Linked DNA regions of Saccharomyces cerevisiae S288C. Changing the gene in region 1 together with any one later gene gives a genetic interaction. Each region holds a gene or a part of one and is shown in the gene's direction. Other genes may lie near its edges.

Region 1 (10,228 bases):
GGTATCGAGACCGCTGCTGAATATGCTAACGAATATATGAACGAATTCGTTCATACCGGAGATATCCAATCAATGAAAAGGGATTACAATCTCAGCGCGAATGATGAAAGCTTTGTCAAAACCGTATTTAACAGTTTCCTGGTAAAGCTCTACAAGAAAACTATCGTGGGTGAAGCTGCATGTGAAATGAACTGGATATGTGATGATTCGCTTGGAAGGGTCTCTGCTTATGATATTTTCTCGCACTTCGAAGAAAACTATAATGAAGTCACTATTGGATCCAGGCTTACTCTTATAGAGGACCTACCAAATATATCCTCCAAGCCTGTAGATGAAATTGCTTCCTTTTTGAAAACTCTATTCACGATGCTTGAAGACAATAGCGAAGAACAGGACAAAAAAAAAAGACGCGACACCAATATCGCGTTGTTATTAATGACCTTCTTACCCGAGTTAAAAGAATCATTCCACGAGAAATTCGGTGACTCTAAGGCTCTTCAGCTATCACAAGTCATTAGATTCTGTAAATTAAATGCGTCATCGAATTCATCATCTTCGGTCTCAGATGCATTGGTTGCACAAGACAGAAGAAACTATCAAAAGAAAGGAAATAAGGGATGTATATAATTTACGGAGCTGATCATCGCATAAGCAACTGTTCTCTGCTTAAACGAAGAATACCAGAAGCACGAATCTTTAAATTATATCCTAATGACAAAACGAGTAGATCTTCATCTGCTAGTGTCGCGATTCCTGACTATGAAACGCAAGGCCAAACAGCAGGACAGATAACACCGAAGTCCTGGCTCTGTATGTTATCTTCGACTGTTCCAGCTACCAAATCCTCAGAATGGATTTTTGACACAGGATGTACTTCCCACATGTGCCACGACCGTTCCATTTTTTCATCATTTACTAGATCCTCTAGGAAAGACTTTGTCAGAGGAGTTGGCGGTTCCATACCCATCATGGGCTCCGGAACTGTAAACATTGGCACTGTTCAATTACATGACGTATCTTACGTTCCTGATTTACCAGTTAACCTGATATCCGTTTGAAAACTATGCACTAAATCAAACTCTTCTGTTACGTTCACAAAAGAGGGTGTCACTGTGCAATCACCTGATGATGTGGTTTCTACAGCTGGGTATTCACAATAAAAGACTCTGGGAAGTACAAAGCTCGCCTTGTCGCCCAAGGACATACTCAAAAGGCTGGTATTGACTATCAGGAAACCTTTGCACCAGTCATTCGATATGACTCTGTTAGATTATTTCTGGCCCTTGCTAGCTGCCTCAAACTAATAGTATATCAGATGGACGTTGACACTGCGTTTCTAAACTCAACCATGGATGAGCCGATCTACGTAAAACAACCACCCGGGTTTGTTAACGAGAGGAATCCCGACTATGTATGGGAACTATACGGCGGTATGTATGGACTCAAACAAGCCCCATTACTATGGAACGAACATATCAACAATACTCTTAAAAAGATTGGTTTCTGTCGACATGAAGGCGAACATGGCTTATATTTTCGTTCCACATCTGATGGTCCCATCTACATTGCCGTATACGTAGACGACTTACTTGTTGCTGCTCCCTCTCCTAAAATATATGACAGGGTTAAGCAAGAATTAACGAAATTATACTCAATGAAGGATCTCGGTAAAGTTGACAAATTCCTCGGTCTTAACATTCATCAATCGTCAAACGGAGACATCACTCTCTCCCTTCAAGACTATATTGCTAAAGCTGCATCTGAAAGCGAAATAAACACATTTAAACTTACACAGACTCCGCTCTGCAACTCAAAGCCTCTTTTCGAAACAACTTCCCCGCATCTAAAAGACATCACTCCTTATCAGAGCATAGTTGGTCAGCTTCTCTTTTGTGCAAATACTGGTCGTCCGGACATATCGTATCCAGTCTCATTACTCTCCAGGTTCCTTCGAGAACCTCGCGCAATCCATTTGGAGTCTGCTCGGCGGGTTCTACGGTACCTATATACCACCAGAAGTATGTGTCTCAAGTATCGTTCTGGATCTCAGTTGGCATTAACTGTATATTGTGATGCATCTCATGGAGCTATTCACGATCTACCACACTCTACTGGGGGGTACGTGACTCTACTTGCTGGTGCTCCCGTTACGTGGTCATCGAAGAAGCTCAAGGGTGTGATTCCTGTACCATCTACTGAGGCAGAATACATTACTGCAAGTGAAACTGTCATGGAGATATAATGGATTCAAAACTTGTTTGAACACTTAGGCCAGCCACTTATCTCATCAACATCATATGTAGATAATAAACCTGCTATAAAACTGTCTAAACATCCTGTATTTCACACGAGAGCAAAACACATTGCTTTGAGATACCACAAGCTAAGAAATGCAGTGGCAGCAGGCATAATTACCATAGAACATGTTATCACAAAGAAACAAGTTGCTGACATATTTACAAAAATCCTTCCAGCTGAATCATTTAAAACACATAGGGCTGTCATGATAAGGGAACCAGAAACTACAAAATAACCATACTCATGCGTATTCAGTTATGGGGGGATGTTAAATGTGGTAACCTAATAGCATGATATGAGTAATGCTTTAGTATTGTTTCAGAGTTGTTTCAGTAATGTTTTAGACAAAGAAAACATATAATAGTAAACCTGTAATCAGGTAGTACTTAAGAAACTATACTTTCTGTGTACAAAACACTAACTATGTAATTCTTACATTTACATAACATGTAGAAAGGTCCAATAAACTTACTATATTATGACATATAAGTTAGATCGTAATTCACTACGTCAACATATCCCACGATAAAAAAAATACCTTGACTCAAGTGCCGAAACAGGAAATAATGAAAGATTTCATACAAGGTTGTTTCTAAGGTGCTATATGTCCCTACGGCCTCGTTTAGCCCCATCTCGCATGCAATACCGTAACATAGGTATATACACACAGAGAAGTAGTAATTTTACGTGTCTTATACTTATTTTATATAGAAATGTCCGACACTTGCGCTACACTAAGGCATATAAGATAGATCTTAATTCCTTGTATTAACATATAAACAGACAACATAACATAGCCAGTTTATCTTACTTATCTTTTCCTGGAAGAGATGGCATTATTTGTGTGTATCAAAGAGGCCTTTTTCAATTTTCATTTTAATATTTTTTTAATATTCTTATATTGAACACATTTTTCTCCCCTAGATTTATGTTTCCTATTGCTCTCCATATCACATTATATCTATGAATGAATATGCATTGCTCTTCTGATACTATGGTATGAGAGGCCTTGGTAAAGGGCATCGATAACCGAAAGAATCATCCGCAGAGAAGTAGAATCTTAGAGCATATCGTCTCGTTGAGACCGTATAGATTCGCAAAAATAACAGAAACTTGCGTTAACATTGAATTTCAAACTCAGTTTTCCATAATTAACTGTTAAAAAAGGCTACTATAAGGGTGTCAATTACTGTTCTGTTTCGCAGGATTAATTCCGTTATGTGCTCTTGTAATTGAGTTAGCGCTTCTTATATCTCTTCAGTAATGCAGCAGTAATAAAACACATTGGCTTCGCTTTCGCTTTTTTTCCAAATCATTATCGAAGATTCTTTGCTTATGATATACTGGTGCTCGAGGATGATGAGAGGACACAACTTTTTGAGGCTTATCGTTATCGTCTGAGTCACAACAACATACATTAACTGTCCACGATTCAGGGATGTGCTATGAGTTCAATTTTCGCTGTAGTGCTGCCATTGGCGCTGCTACTGGTGTCTGGAAAAACTCCACAGCTTTCAATGGAGATGTGACTGCACGAGTGAGACATTATCTGTATTAGCTTCACAACCATACTCTGTTAGTAAGGAGCCATAGTCGACATCTGTCCAGCTCAATCGGGTATGATATTTGATATCCCCAAAATACATGGCTGTACCATGTAAAATGAGCGGTATATCGAAGATCAGTATATTTCAGCCTATACAGGATCCTACTATTTCAACAAAAATGATTTCATCAAAATTAAATCACGCTGCAACATTGGTGAAGAATCTCAAAAGGTTAGTAACATCAATATATCGCGGAGTAGCTATCATTGTGGCAGTTAACTTAAAGGATATACAGTTAATTCAACAAGATTTTCAAGTCCATTTTTTTTGGGCACGCTGAACACGCTCAATGTAGTACTTGTTTTGGAAATCACTCGCAAGTTTAATGGGACGAATTATATCAGTAATGTGTAAATTCCGACACAATGTTCGGTTAGTAGATTTACTGCTGGATTATTGGGTTCACCCGTAGACTGTTGCCGACTCCAAGAAAACTATGATCTCAATACAGGCATAAAGAATTGTTGTATCTGTGCCCATGTGATCTGTACCTTTTTTGCGGTACCAAAATCGCATGTTGCACTCACACTACGGAACACATCAACTTGTAACGACAACAATACAAAATACCAGGAGACATATCACTTTTTTTCGCCTAGAATGATTTACAATGGCATACACTTAGAAAAGTGCTATGACATGACGCCCTTACTAGAAGTTACATGATTCTCCTTTTTTTTCTTTCTTTCTTTCTTTTTCGGTACAACATAATTAATGCATTCATACAGAGCGCATTTCCAGCATCATTTATTGGATAGTAACTCCTCCCGCACTTTCAATATCAATGACGCTGACTCTTTTACTGACGCTGAGTCTTTACCGACGCTGAGTCTTTACCGACGCTGAGTCTTTACCGACGCTGAGTCTTTACCGACGCTTGTGAAAATAAAAAGTACGACACAGCTATATGCGTCGCAAGTTCAGATGTGGGTCTATCGAGCATGTTTATCCTATCCTGTTATGTCATTTTTATCGGAAGTAATAAAAGTGTAGAAATCACTTGTTTTTGCCTTTTTTGTGATTTTGCTTTCATTTTTTTTTGCCCTTTTTTCACCAGCTTGGGGATCAACATCCTAATTTCTTGTTACTTCGATTATGTCTAAAAAGTGCCTTGATTTGAGAGAAAATATTTTCCTCATCTGGCAAGACAACCAAACCATCTTCAGTGAATTCTTCGTGTGTCGCCTTGTCTATTAGTTCCGGGTCTCTCATGAACATTGTAAACGCAAAGAACGGTACCGTACATGCCAAGCCAACCGTCATTATTATTCGTTGAACATATCTGTAAGATTCAACCACAGCATCTCTTTCGGGTGAGCCCCAAGGATAATCACTAATGAATGTATAAGGTGATGCATATGCTATTTCTGCCAATGTATCGTTTCCAAGGTTCTTGTAGAGTTGGTTAGGCATGGTTTGTGTCCATATGGCACCAGAAACGGAGGCACCGATAGCAGCGCCTAGCTTTGAAAAGGTATACTGGATGCCGGTTATTACAGCCATCCTACTATGCGTAGTCATGGCTTGCAGTATGACGATCACTGAATTGCTGCATAGGAGACCACTCAAACCCATGATAACAGATGCAGCGATAACACCTTCATGAGACCCAGATCCTCCTCTGTATTTGTAAAAAAGGCCCATGCACACCATCCATGCAGCACAACCTCCGATTACAGAAAGTTTCAGTTTCCTTGTCTTTGCCACCAACAAACTGTAGAATGGAGATGCAGTAGCAGCAACAAAGTCAGGAAGGTTTACTATCCGAGCAGCCGAAGTGGACGATTCTTTCATCGATACCAGCAAAACAGGATACAGATAGTCACACGAAATGAAAAAGGTGAAAAAATTGAAAAAAGTAACACCAAGGGGTGCCCAAATTCCACGATCACTTAGTAATTTGAACGGTAGAAGAGGAGATTTGGCAAATTTGGCCTCCCAATATAAAAAAATGAAAAATAAACAGCCACCTGAAACTAAAGTGGCAATTATTTTTGAATTGTGCCACTTCTGTGATGTCTCATTAGCCAACGTCAAAGGGACAAGGATACACCCTAGCGACACAGTTATTAATAATATGCCAACAATATCGAGTTTCCAGAATAGAAACACCAAATTCTCAAATAATCCGCCCGTTCTTTCCTTTCTAGCCTGTTCTTTGAGAGATCTCCACTCAGCAGTCTTTGAAGATTTGTACTTCATATAAAGAATAAGAAATATAATTGGCAAGGCAGAGAGTGGGTAAATAAAAGCCCACATTGCAATATTCCAGGACCAGTTTTTCTGAGGATTTGCTGCTGTGATAATATTACCTGAAATCCATGGTATTATGATATATGGCCAATATGAGGCGTACTGGTAAAACATTCTCCACTTCAAGGAGGAGAAATCAGAAAGTATTAATGTCAGGAGCAGATTTGTTCCGACGTATCCACAGTTATAGAAAACCGATCCTGCTGCATACATTGTGAGACGGGTCGCCTGTGATTGAATGATGGTTCCCATTATATAAAAAATAGTTGCAACTAAAAAAAGCCTTAGTCTTCCGAAGTGGTCAGAGAGTCTGGAGTAGACAACTTGGGATCCGACACTTACAACAGCATTGATAACTTGGACAGTTGAAAGTAAGGAGTGTTCTGAATATGAGTTCGTCGCATAGCCCGTATAGGTCGATCTAAGTGTGTAGTCTAAACTAATTCCAAACCCACATACAAACGCGGTACTTATCAGTAGAATTTTATATTTCAAGGAATCAAACTGTGCAGACATAATTTCGTTTTCTTTGAGCTTAAAAAAGGTCGATGTCATAGAGTACGTGTCATCGTTTGAGTGACGTTCTCGCTCAATAATCTCACAGGACTGCCTAATTCCACTTTTTTTATTACTTGAGGCACCAACAACACTAGAACTCATCCGATAATTTATTTACTTGATTATTCCTTTTTTTTTTTTTTCTCTTTCCAGTCCATAAAACTATTTTACTTTTCTTATTTATGTAAATAGTATTTAAGATTCTACGGTCGCTACATCTGCTAGAAATGGAATTACTTTAATACATTCCATGTTCTCATATATACTTTTACTGACACCTTTCGTCACTATTTTTTGTTTAACTTTTTTTTTGGAAGTACTAAAATTATATGCTCGTAATTATTGAGTATCAAAAAAAAAAAAAAAAAAAATTGCTGTGACACCCCTTCAATGTGGTGTCTATACACCTGGTGACTTTAACTTTAACTTTGACCTGTCGTCGTACAATCAACTTAGTTTCCGAAAATCCACGACGAACCAGTTATACCGAAGACTTTTGTACGACAAGAATACTGTACCGTCGAAACTATCTCTTTTCAAACTGATGAGTGAAGCTTGTGTTTATGTCTGTTGAAACAAGGAAAAAAATGCGGTGCCTGTCGACAGGATATGCGCACAAGTGCAAAATCATCAAAAAATTGAGTACCTAGATCCGGTGGTGTAGGACGAGCAAAGTTCCTTCATAAACAAACCGTAAGGGTTACTGATACACAATTTCCTTTTTGTAAAGAGTATTTGAGCAAATTAGTCAGCGATTGAAAACAACACCCTTTTTTCTATATATAGTAGGTGAAAGTTAACATGCGAGTAAAAGTAGTGCCACATTTCCTTTGCAGCAGGTGCAAATTGGTACATATTTAACAGATAGCGCCGCACCTCATATGCAGCGCGTACATGATACGAGACGACAAGATATGCAAAAGATAATAGTGTCATCACACCTTTATGAGAAGCGAATTTTTTTTTTTTTTTGGTTTAAATATATATATATACATATATATAGATATAGATATACACATGTATAGATGTATTCTAGTTATGCTTATACCTAGAACTGATCAGACCAGATCATACCTGGTATAGAGCTTAATCGATAGAAATTCAAAAATATGGAGGAAACTAAGTACTCTTCGCAGCAGGAGATAGAAGAAGCATGTGGTTCAGACGCTTCATTGAATGCTAGAGGTAGCAATGATTCTCCAATGGGACTTTCCTTGTACCTCTGCCTGGCTTCGTGAACTCTTGTACTATTCATAACTGCACTGGATATTTTGATAGTGGGAACTATTATTGACGTGGTCGCAGAACAGTTCGGAAACTACTCCAAAACAGGTTGGCTCGTTACAGGCTACAGTTTACCAAATGCTATTCTGAGTCTCATTTGGGGAAGATTCGCATCTATCATAGGTTTCCAGCATAGTCTCATTTTAGCAATACTTATTTTTGAAGCCGGATCCCTAATTGCTGCCCTTGCCTCTTCAATGAATATGCTCATTGTCGGTAGAGTTGTTGCTAGTGTTGGGGGAAGCGGACTTCAAACGCTTTGCTTTGTTATTGGTTGTACGATGGTTGGTGAAAGGTCACGTCCATTGGTGATTTCCATCCTAAGTTGTGCATTTGCTGTAGCTGCTATCGTTGGTCCTATAATCGGAGGTGCCTTTACAACCCATGTTACCTGGAGGTGGTGCTTCTATATCAATCTTCCTATCGGTGGTCTTGCCATTATTATGTTTTTACTCACATATAAGGCCGAGAATAAGGGTATACTTCAACAAATTAAAGATGCTATAGGAACAATCTCGAGCTTTACTTTTAGTAAGTTCAGACACCAAGTTAATTTTAAAAGACTTATGAATGGCATAATCTTCAAGTTTGACTTCTTTGGTTTTGCCCTCTGCTCTGCAGGGCTGGTCCTTTTCCTACTGGGGCTAACCTTTGGTGGTAATAAATATAGTTGGAACTCTGGCCAAGTCATCGCATATTTGGTTTTGGGTGTCTTACTTTTTATTTTTTCATTGGTGTACGATTTCTTCTTATTCGATAAATTCAACCCGGAACCTGATAATATATCCTACAGGCCTCTCCTTCTAAGAAGATTGGTAGCAAAACCAGCCATAATAATAATAAACATGGTAACATTTCTATTATGTACCGGTTACAATGGGCAAATGATATACTCTGTCCAGTTTTTCCAACTTATATTTGCGTCGAGTGCATGGAAAGCCGGTCTTCACTTGATACCAATCGTTATTACCAACGTTATTGCGGCCATTGCAAGTGGTGTGATTACCAAAAAGCTCGGTTTAGTTAAACCACTCTTAATATTTGGAGGCGTTCTTGGGGTAATTGGAGCAGGGCTTATGACACTTATGACAAATACGTCCACGAAGTCAACTCAAATTGGTGTTTTGCTATTACCGGGGTTTTCCCTTGGATTTGCTCTACAAGCATCGCTCATGAGTGCACAGCTTCAAATTACCAAAGATCGTCCAGAAGCTGCTATGGACTTTATTGAAGTAACAGCTTTCAATACATTCATGAAGTCATTAGGTACAACTCTTGGTGGTGTGCTTTCAACCACTGTTTTTTCCGCCTCCTTTCACAACAAAGTATCACGAGCTCATCTAGAGCCTTACGAAGGAAAAACGGTTGATGACATGATTTTGTATCGTCTTCAAAACTACGACGGTTCTCATTCGACTATTGGAAACATTTTAAGCGACTCCATTAAGAACGTATTTTGGATGGATCTAGGGTTTTATGCCTTAGGATTTTTGTTTTGTAGTTTTTCATCCAATAAGAAATTAATCATACCAAAAAAGGACGAGACACCAGAAGATAATTTAGAAGACAAGTAGCGCAGTTATTTTCTTATTTTCATTTTATTTTTTTCGCCTTTTATACAGACTTCAACACAATCAGAATCAAATAGGTGTATCGCAATGGAATGTAATTTCTTAAGTATTCTATATGTACTTAAAACCTATTAATATATGGATCAACACAGTATCTTATGAATGGGTTTTTGATTTTTTTATGTTTTTTTAAAACATTAAAGTTTTCGGCACGGACTTATTTGGAATTCAAATTATTAATGAAAGAACAATTAACTAATTAATGTACTTAGTATTTGGCCATTATTATCGATTTCGGGGGCCAAATCTAACCAAATTCAACCTACATTTTTTCAAATTGATTCAAACACCTTTCACAATAAGATTTTTATATCTAGCGCACATAGAATGAAATGTAAACAAAGATTTCAGAAAAATCGTCATTCAAACTTGTATTAGACGAGGGACGGAGTGATTTTTGTGTTTGTTTTTATTAATTGTGGGATAGGATAGTAGCAACTCTTGGAGGAGAGCATTGTCAGTTGTCCAGTCTCTGAAGTTAAGTAGTAAGTTTGCGGAGTCAAAGGGGGATGGCTTTTGCCATTTGTGAGAGTTGTGCGGCAGCATCTTATTCAAATAGAGCTGTATTCTGAAGACCTCTTGTAGAACATCATCCAT
Region 2 (6,384 bases), on another chromosome or scaffold:
CAATGCCGAAGTTACAGAGTTGAACGGAGATATTGAAGATCTAAAGGAATCAAAATTGCATTTGGAAGAAACAATTACGGAACTAGAAAACAAAGTTCATAAACTAGAAAATGAGTGTGAACTGGAGAAACAAAAATTCGAAAAAACTTCGCTAGAATTAGAAAGCTTACAACTAAAAAATAGTAACATTCAGGCTGAGCACATCAAAGAATTGGAAAATCTTCATGAAAACCTTATTTCTCTTCAAAATGAATTGAAGATTTCATCCGACAGGATAACAACATTAACAAAAGAAAATGAAGTATTAATGGAACAAAATAATAATAACAATAATAGCGTTACTTTAAGCAATGATCAAAAGGATAGAGATGATGAAAAAATTAAATCATTAGGAAAACAAGTACAAGATTGGAAAGAAAAGTATGAGGCCAAAGAAAAAGATACAAATAAAAGGCTAAAGTTATTAGCAGAAGATTTGTATATCCAGTATTCATCCAAACACGAACAAAAGGTCAAACTGTTGAAAAAAGGCTATGAAAACAAGTACCAAAATAAGTTTGATCAATTAAATTTAGAAAATAAAACTCTGTCAGAAGAAATCGAGCAATTGAACAAGCAGCTGTCTTCAGAAAGAGAAGAAAAGCAGGAGTTACTCAAGTTGTTAGAAAATGAAAAAAAATAAACGCATTTTTTTCTTTTGCATTTTATCTTTTCCCTTAATATGTCATGAGAATAAAATATTAAGGATATACCGTAAATATACAAATTCGTATCGAATATTTGATATTGTTTCCTAACTTTTCTGTGTTAAAAATAAATATGCAAAAACATACTAACCATAAAAATAAATAAAATACAAGATATAAATAAATAATCCAGCAAGCAAAGACATTGCGGTCCATGCCATAATTGTTTTCTTCCAACTATTAGATTTCAGTGTGCATTATTTCATGTTTCTTTTCTTCAAAACGTTCTCAATAAATGCTTCACCAGCCTTATATGACGATCTTACTAGGGGTCCAGATGCACAATACAAGAATCCCATCTCTAAAGCTCTCTCTTTCCAGTAGTCAAACTTTTCGGGTTTCACATATTCTACGACTTTCATATGTCTCTTGGTTGGCCTCATATATTGACCAAATGTAACAACATCACATTGAATATTGCGCAAATCCTTCAAAGTTTGAGTAATTTGCTCATCAGTTTCTCCTAGACCCAGCATTATTGATGTTTTAGTAATCAGTGACGGAACCGTAGCTTTTGCCCTTTCTAAAACACTCAAAGACTGTCTATAAGTAGCTCTTCTGTCTCTGACATGTGGTGTTAGTGATTCAACTGTTTCCAAATTATGTGCGTAAACATCAAGCCCACATTGTGCCATAATGTCCACCATCTTCAAATCACCTCTGAAATCACCAGAAAGAGTCTCTACAAGAGTATTTGGTGCCTTCTGTTTGATTTTGCGAACCGTCTCGGCCAGGTGATTAGCACCACCATCGACTAAATCGTCCCTATCAACGGTAGTTAAAACAACATAACCCAACCCCCATCTTTTGATAGCTTCGGCAGTATTTTCGGGCTCCATTGGGTCCGGCTTACTAGGCGTTCTATTGGTCTTCACAGAACAAAACCTACATCCACGAGTGCAAGTATCACCAAGCAGCATAATTGTTGCCGTTGCCTTAGATTTATCTTTGCCTCCCCAACATTCACCAATATTGGGACATCTTGCCTCCTCACAAACAGTACTCAGGCCTAATTCTTTTACGTCGCCTTTCAATTTATGGTAATTGGTACCCTTAGGAATAGGAACCTTAAGCCAACGAGGTAGTTTTTTAGCTTCCTCTGTATTTTGCCTTGCCTTCTCCAGAGGGTCCAAGATCATTTTCGAAGCTTTACCTGAAACAAAATCTGCAAAAGATGGACCCAAATTAAGAGCATCTTTGAACTCTGTAATTCTTTTTCTGTTCCCCTTGCGTCTTTTTCCCGAAGTCCCTGTTAACTGACTGGTTGCATTTTCAACCTCAGTTGAATTTCCAACTGGTACCCTAACGCTAGCGTTATCTGAATCAGTATTCAATGCATTGGATCTTATTGGCCGAGTTGCGCTCGTTCCACACCTAATAGTGGACGAAATCCATCTTGTATTTCTCCCAACAAATAGTACTCCAACAGATCGTCTATACATTATTGTGGCTTAACAGTTCTCCTTAAAATCCACATAACTGACAAAACTGGATACTTAATGCCCATCGAGTCATATACATATATTTGATTACTACAAGTGCTTTTCAAATAACTGCTTCGAGAAAAGCGTCCGGGTAATAACAACTATTGAAAAAGCATGGCTTCGCATTAATAGGAGCCAAAAATATGAAGATGAGCCTCGAAGTTTATCTAAACTACCACCAAAGAAGACCGACTAGATTTACAATCATGTATCCAGGTAGTGGACGTTACACCTACAACAACGCTGGTGGTAATAATGGCTACCAACGGCCCATGGCTCCTCCACCTAACCAGCAGTATGGACAGCAATATGGTCAGCAATATGAACAGCAGTATGGACAGCAATATGGGCAACAAAATGATCAGCAATTCAGTCAGCAATATGCTCCACCACCAGGTCCTCCCCCTATGGCTTATAACAGGCCTGTGTATCCCCCCCCTCAATTCCAGCAGGAACAGGCAAAGGCACAATTAAGCAACGGCTACAACAATCCTAATGTAAACGCATCCAATATGTACGGTCCACCCCAGAATATGTCATTACCTCCACCTCAAACACAAACTATTCAAGGTACAGACCAACCTTATCAGTATTCTCAATGTACTGGGCGTAGAAAGGCTTTGATTATCGGTATAAACTACATAGGTTCAAAAAATCAACTGCGTGGTTGTATCAATGATGCTCATAACATCTTCAACTTTTTGACTAATGGGTACGGTTACAGTTCAGATGACATTGTCATATTAACTGATGATCAGAACGATTTGGTCAGGGTTCCCACTAGGGCTAATATGATTAGGGCCATGCAATGGTTGGTCAAGGATGCGCAACCCAATGATTCTTTGTTCCTTCATTATTCTGGACATGGTGGCCAAACTGAAGATTTGGATGGGGACGAAGAAGATGGGATGGATGATGTTATATATCCGGTCGATTTCGAAACTCAAGGGCCAATTATCGACGATGAAATGCACGATATAATGGTGAAGCCCTTACAACAAGGTGTTAGACTAACAGCATTGTTTGACTCTTGTCATTCGGGTACAGTGTTGGATCTTCCATATACCTATTCTACTAAGGGTATTATTAAGGAGCCCAATATTTGGAAGGATGTTGGCCAAGATGGCCTGCAAGCAGCTATTTCATATGCCACAGGAAACAGGGCTGCTTTGATTGGTTCTTTAGGTTCTATATTCAAGACCGTTAAGGGAGGTATGGGCAATAATGTGGATAGAGAACGCGTGAGACAGATCAAATTCTCAGCAGCAGATGTTGTTATGTTATCAGGTTCGAAGGATAATCAAACTTCTGCAGATGCTGTCGAAGATGGGCAAAATACAGGTGCAATGTCCCACGCCTTCATCAAGGTTATGACTTTACAACCACAGCAATCATATTTATCTCTTTTACAGAACATGAGGAAAGAATTGGCTGGTAAGTATTCTCAAAAACCACAATTATCATCGTCACACCCTATTGACGTAAATCTGCAATTTATTATGTAGAAATATATGAATGTGTACGTTGGTAGATGTATTCAGACTGGTGTAGTATGTGATTCAATTTTTATTTTTTTAGAAAGCAGAAACAATCTAAGCTATTAATACTATATACATATAGGCAAAGATATATAGGGAATAGGCATTTTGGAAAATAAGACCATGTGTTTTTTTAACGTAGTGAATACTAAGTACAGAAAAAAACATCACCTCAACCAAAGAAAAATTAAGTAATGAAGAAAGATCAGGAGAAAAATTTTTTTCTACTTCAGGTTTAATTTTCTTTATCTTTTTCAGACTCTTCCTGTTCTTTCAATCTTTTTTCTTCCAATTCCTTTTTTACTTGTTGCTCTTTGTTAGAGTAGTCCAAATTTAATTTCTCAATTTCCTTTTCGACAGATTCAATGTTTTGTTTTGTTTGCTCTTCTTGTTTCGACAAAAGCTCTTCATGCTTCTTCTTCAATTGCTCAACGGTGATCTTGACATCATCACTGTTGATTGGGACAGTTACGTCTAATTCGGCCAAAGTAGCAATTAGTGTTGGTTCTAAAGTAAACTTGCCATCGACTTTGTTGAAAATAGAAGCAGGTTGCTCATTTTCAGTGTTCTTCTGTTGGTTCTTCTTCTTGTATTTCTTAGATTTAGATGGAGCAACATTGACAAAATCATCCTTCTTTGGAGTGACCAAAACCAAATCATCAGCAACAACTTTTCTGGCAGGCTTGGTCTCCAAAGCATTGCTACTCAAGTCAGGCAGGATGTTTTTCTTTGGTTTCACATAAGTTGGGTCCAGGACAAGCAAAGAATTCTCAATGGCACCGATTTCATAAGTGAAGGCTGGAATCTTGGCATGAGTCAACTTTTCTTGCAATTTACCCATATCAACATCTTTCTGTTCCAAAAGTTTGGATAATCTTTGTTCTTCTTCACGTTTCAAACGTTCTTTGTCCAATTTGGCTCTGAATGATTTGAATTCGTTGTCAAAGTCAGCTCTGATCTGTCTGATTTGACTGTATAATTCGTCACGCTTCTTGTACAAGGCAGCACGTTTGTTGAATAAAGTTTGTCTTTTGTCGTAAACACCTTGAGTTTTTGAATGGATATCGTTCAATTTTTGCTGGTTCTCTTCGAATTGGTTGGAGACATCCTTTGGATTCAATCCGTTCAATTCTTCCTTCAATTGATTGATTTTAGCCTTGTCAGCATCAACAGACTTTCTGATTGGCTCGATGTTAACTAAGTCCTTAATCAATTTGTTCAAAGATTGCATTTCTTTGACTAGTAGTTTTTCTTGAACCAAAGAAAGGTCACCAGAGGCAATAGACTCTTCAATCTCATTGATTCTTTGCTTGGCTTCTGCAGTGGACGAGAACTTGGCCTTTTTGCCTAACTTCTCCTCAATTTGGTTGTTTTTTCTCTTGATTTGAGCATCCAATTGCTTAATAGAGTCGTGAATGTTGCTTCTACGGGTTTTCAAGTCAGCTTGGATCTTGATGATCTCCTTGTTCTTATCCTGTAACTTCTTACGTTCTTGTTGGGTGGTATCGTTGACCTGGTGTTGATCGATTTGCTTTCTAATTAAACCGATTTCAGTGTCGATTTTTTTCAATTGAACGTTAAGAGTGTCCAATTTCTTGTCTCTAACGGAGACATCTGGGCGCTTGAACTTGTGTTGTTGGGAGGACATGGCAATGGCTGTGTTGTTAGAAAATATGCTATTACGTTGATAAAAGGAGGAAAGGTGAAATCAGTTCAAAAATGTGAATGAAACTGAACGAAGAAATGACCAGAATGAGTGAAAAATGGAGATGGAGGGGCAAAATGAAAAAAAAAAAAAGGATGAACCTAAAATAGAAAATAGACTCCGTCGTACTTTAATGCTATGTATAACGCAACCAAGCAATTTTCGAAACTCAATTTGGCTTATAAATGTTCGAGATAAAATGCGAATTACGTGTTCAACGTCGTCGAGATCAGTTATTTTTTTTCACCGCCACAGTGCGGGTAAGCAATTTTTCGCGTACCACCACCATTACACATGTATAATGTATATAGGCTTATTATGTATGTTTGTGCTACTTTATATGACGGTTATTTACAAGTTAGAATATTATCTATTAACAATGCAGTAGCCACGCTTACGTTTAGTGAGTCAACAATGGGTTCTGGGGCCCGATTGCCTTTCTCAATGCCACCAAAGGGAATTTCGACGAAGAAGTCACTCCTCATCTTCAAATTCGTTCTTACGCCCTGGCTTTCGTTCCCCACCACTAGAACAACAGGCAGCTCGTTACATAATCCGTTCAAATCGTGCATGCTAATAGTTTTTCCAACAGTGTATTTTTCTGACGTGGCATTAGCTAAGTGGCTTGTAATAAACGTCCAGCCACCCATTTCTTGTGATTTAGTAAAAAACTCTAACGGTTTATCAACGTAAAATATGGGCAGAAGTTCGAGGGCCCCACTGCTTGTCTTGGACACCACAGGCGTCAAAGGAGAGCAGTTTCTTCTCGACATCACAATGAAGTCAACCCCCAGGAAGTAAGCGCTTCTAATAATGGCACCGATATTGTGAGGGTCAGTTATTTCATCCAGATATAACCCGAGAGGAAACTTCTTAGCGTCTGTTTTCGTACCATAAGGCAGTTCATGAGG

What was found. A genetic interaction does not mean that the proteins touch.
Region 2: mutations in VBA3 (region 1) and MCA1 together harm fitness more than expected from each alone (negative genetic interaction), as found in Saccharomyces cerevisiae (2 studies listed by BioGRID).

What each region holds. Positions count from the first base shown.
Region 1 is NC_001135.5:1,509-11,736, forward strand, and holds VBA3 (basic amino acid transporter), read left to right. Parts: upstream 1-8,197; coding exon 8,198-9,574; downstream 9,575-10,228. Other genes in the region: GEX1 (glutathione exchanger), read right to left, coding at 4,971-6,818; YCL068C (uncharacterized protein), read right to left, coding at 9,995-10,228. UniProt on the Saccharomyces cerevisiae protein: Transporter required for vacuolar uptake of histidine and lysine.
Region 2 is NC_001147.6:714,650-721,033, forward strand, and holds MCA1 (Ca(2+)-dependent cysteine protease MCA1), read left to right. Parts: upstream 1-2,436; coding exon 2,437-3,735; downstream 3,736-6,384. Other genes in the region: SLK19 (Slk19p), read left to right, coding at 1-682; LIP5 (lipoate synthase), read right to left, coding at 944-2,188; BFR1 (Bfr1p), read right to left, coding at 4,004-5,416; MRM1 (Mrm1p), read right to left, coding at 5,821-6,384. UniProt on the Saccharomyces cerevisiae protein: Cysteine protease that cleaves specifically after arginine or lysine residues. Mediates cell death (apoptosis) triggered by oxygen stress, salt stress or chronological aging.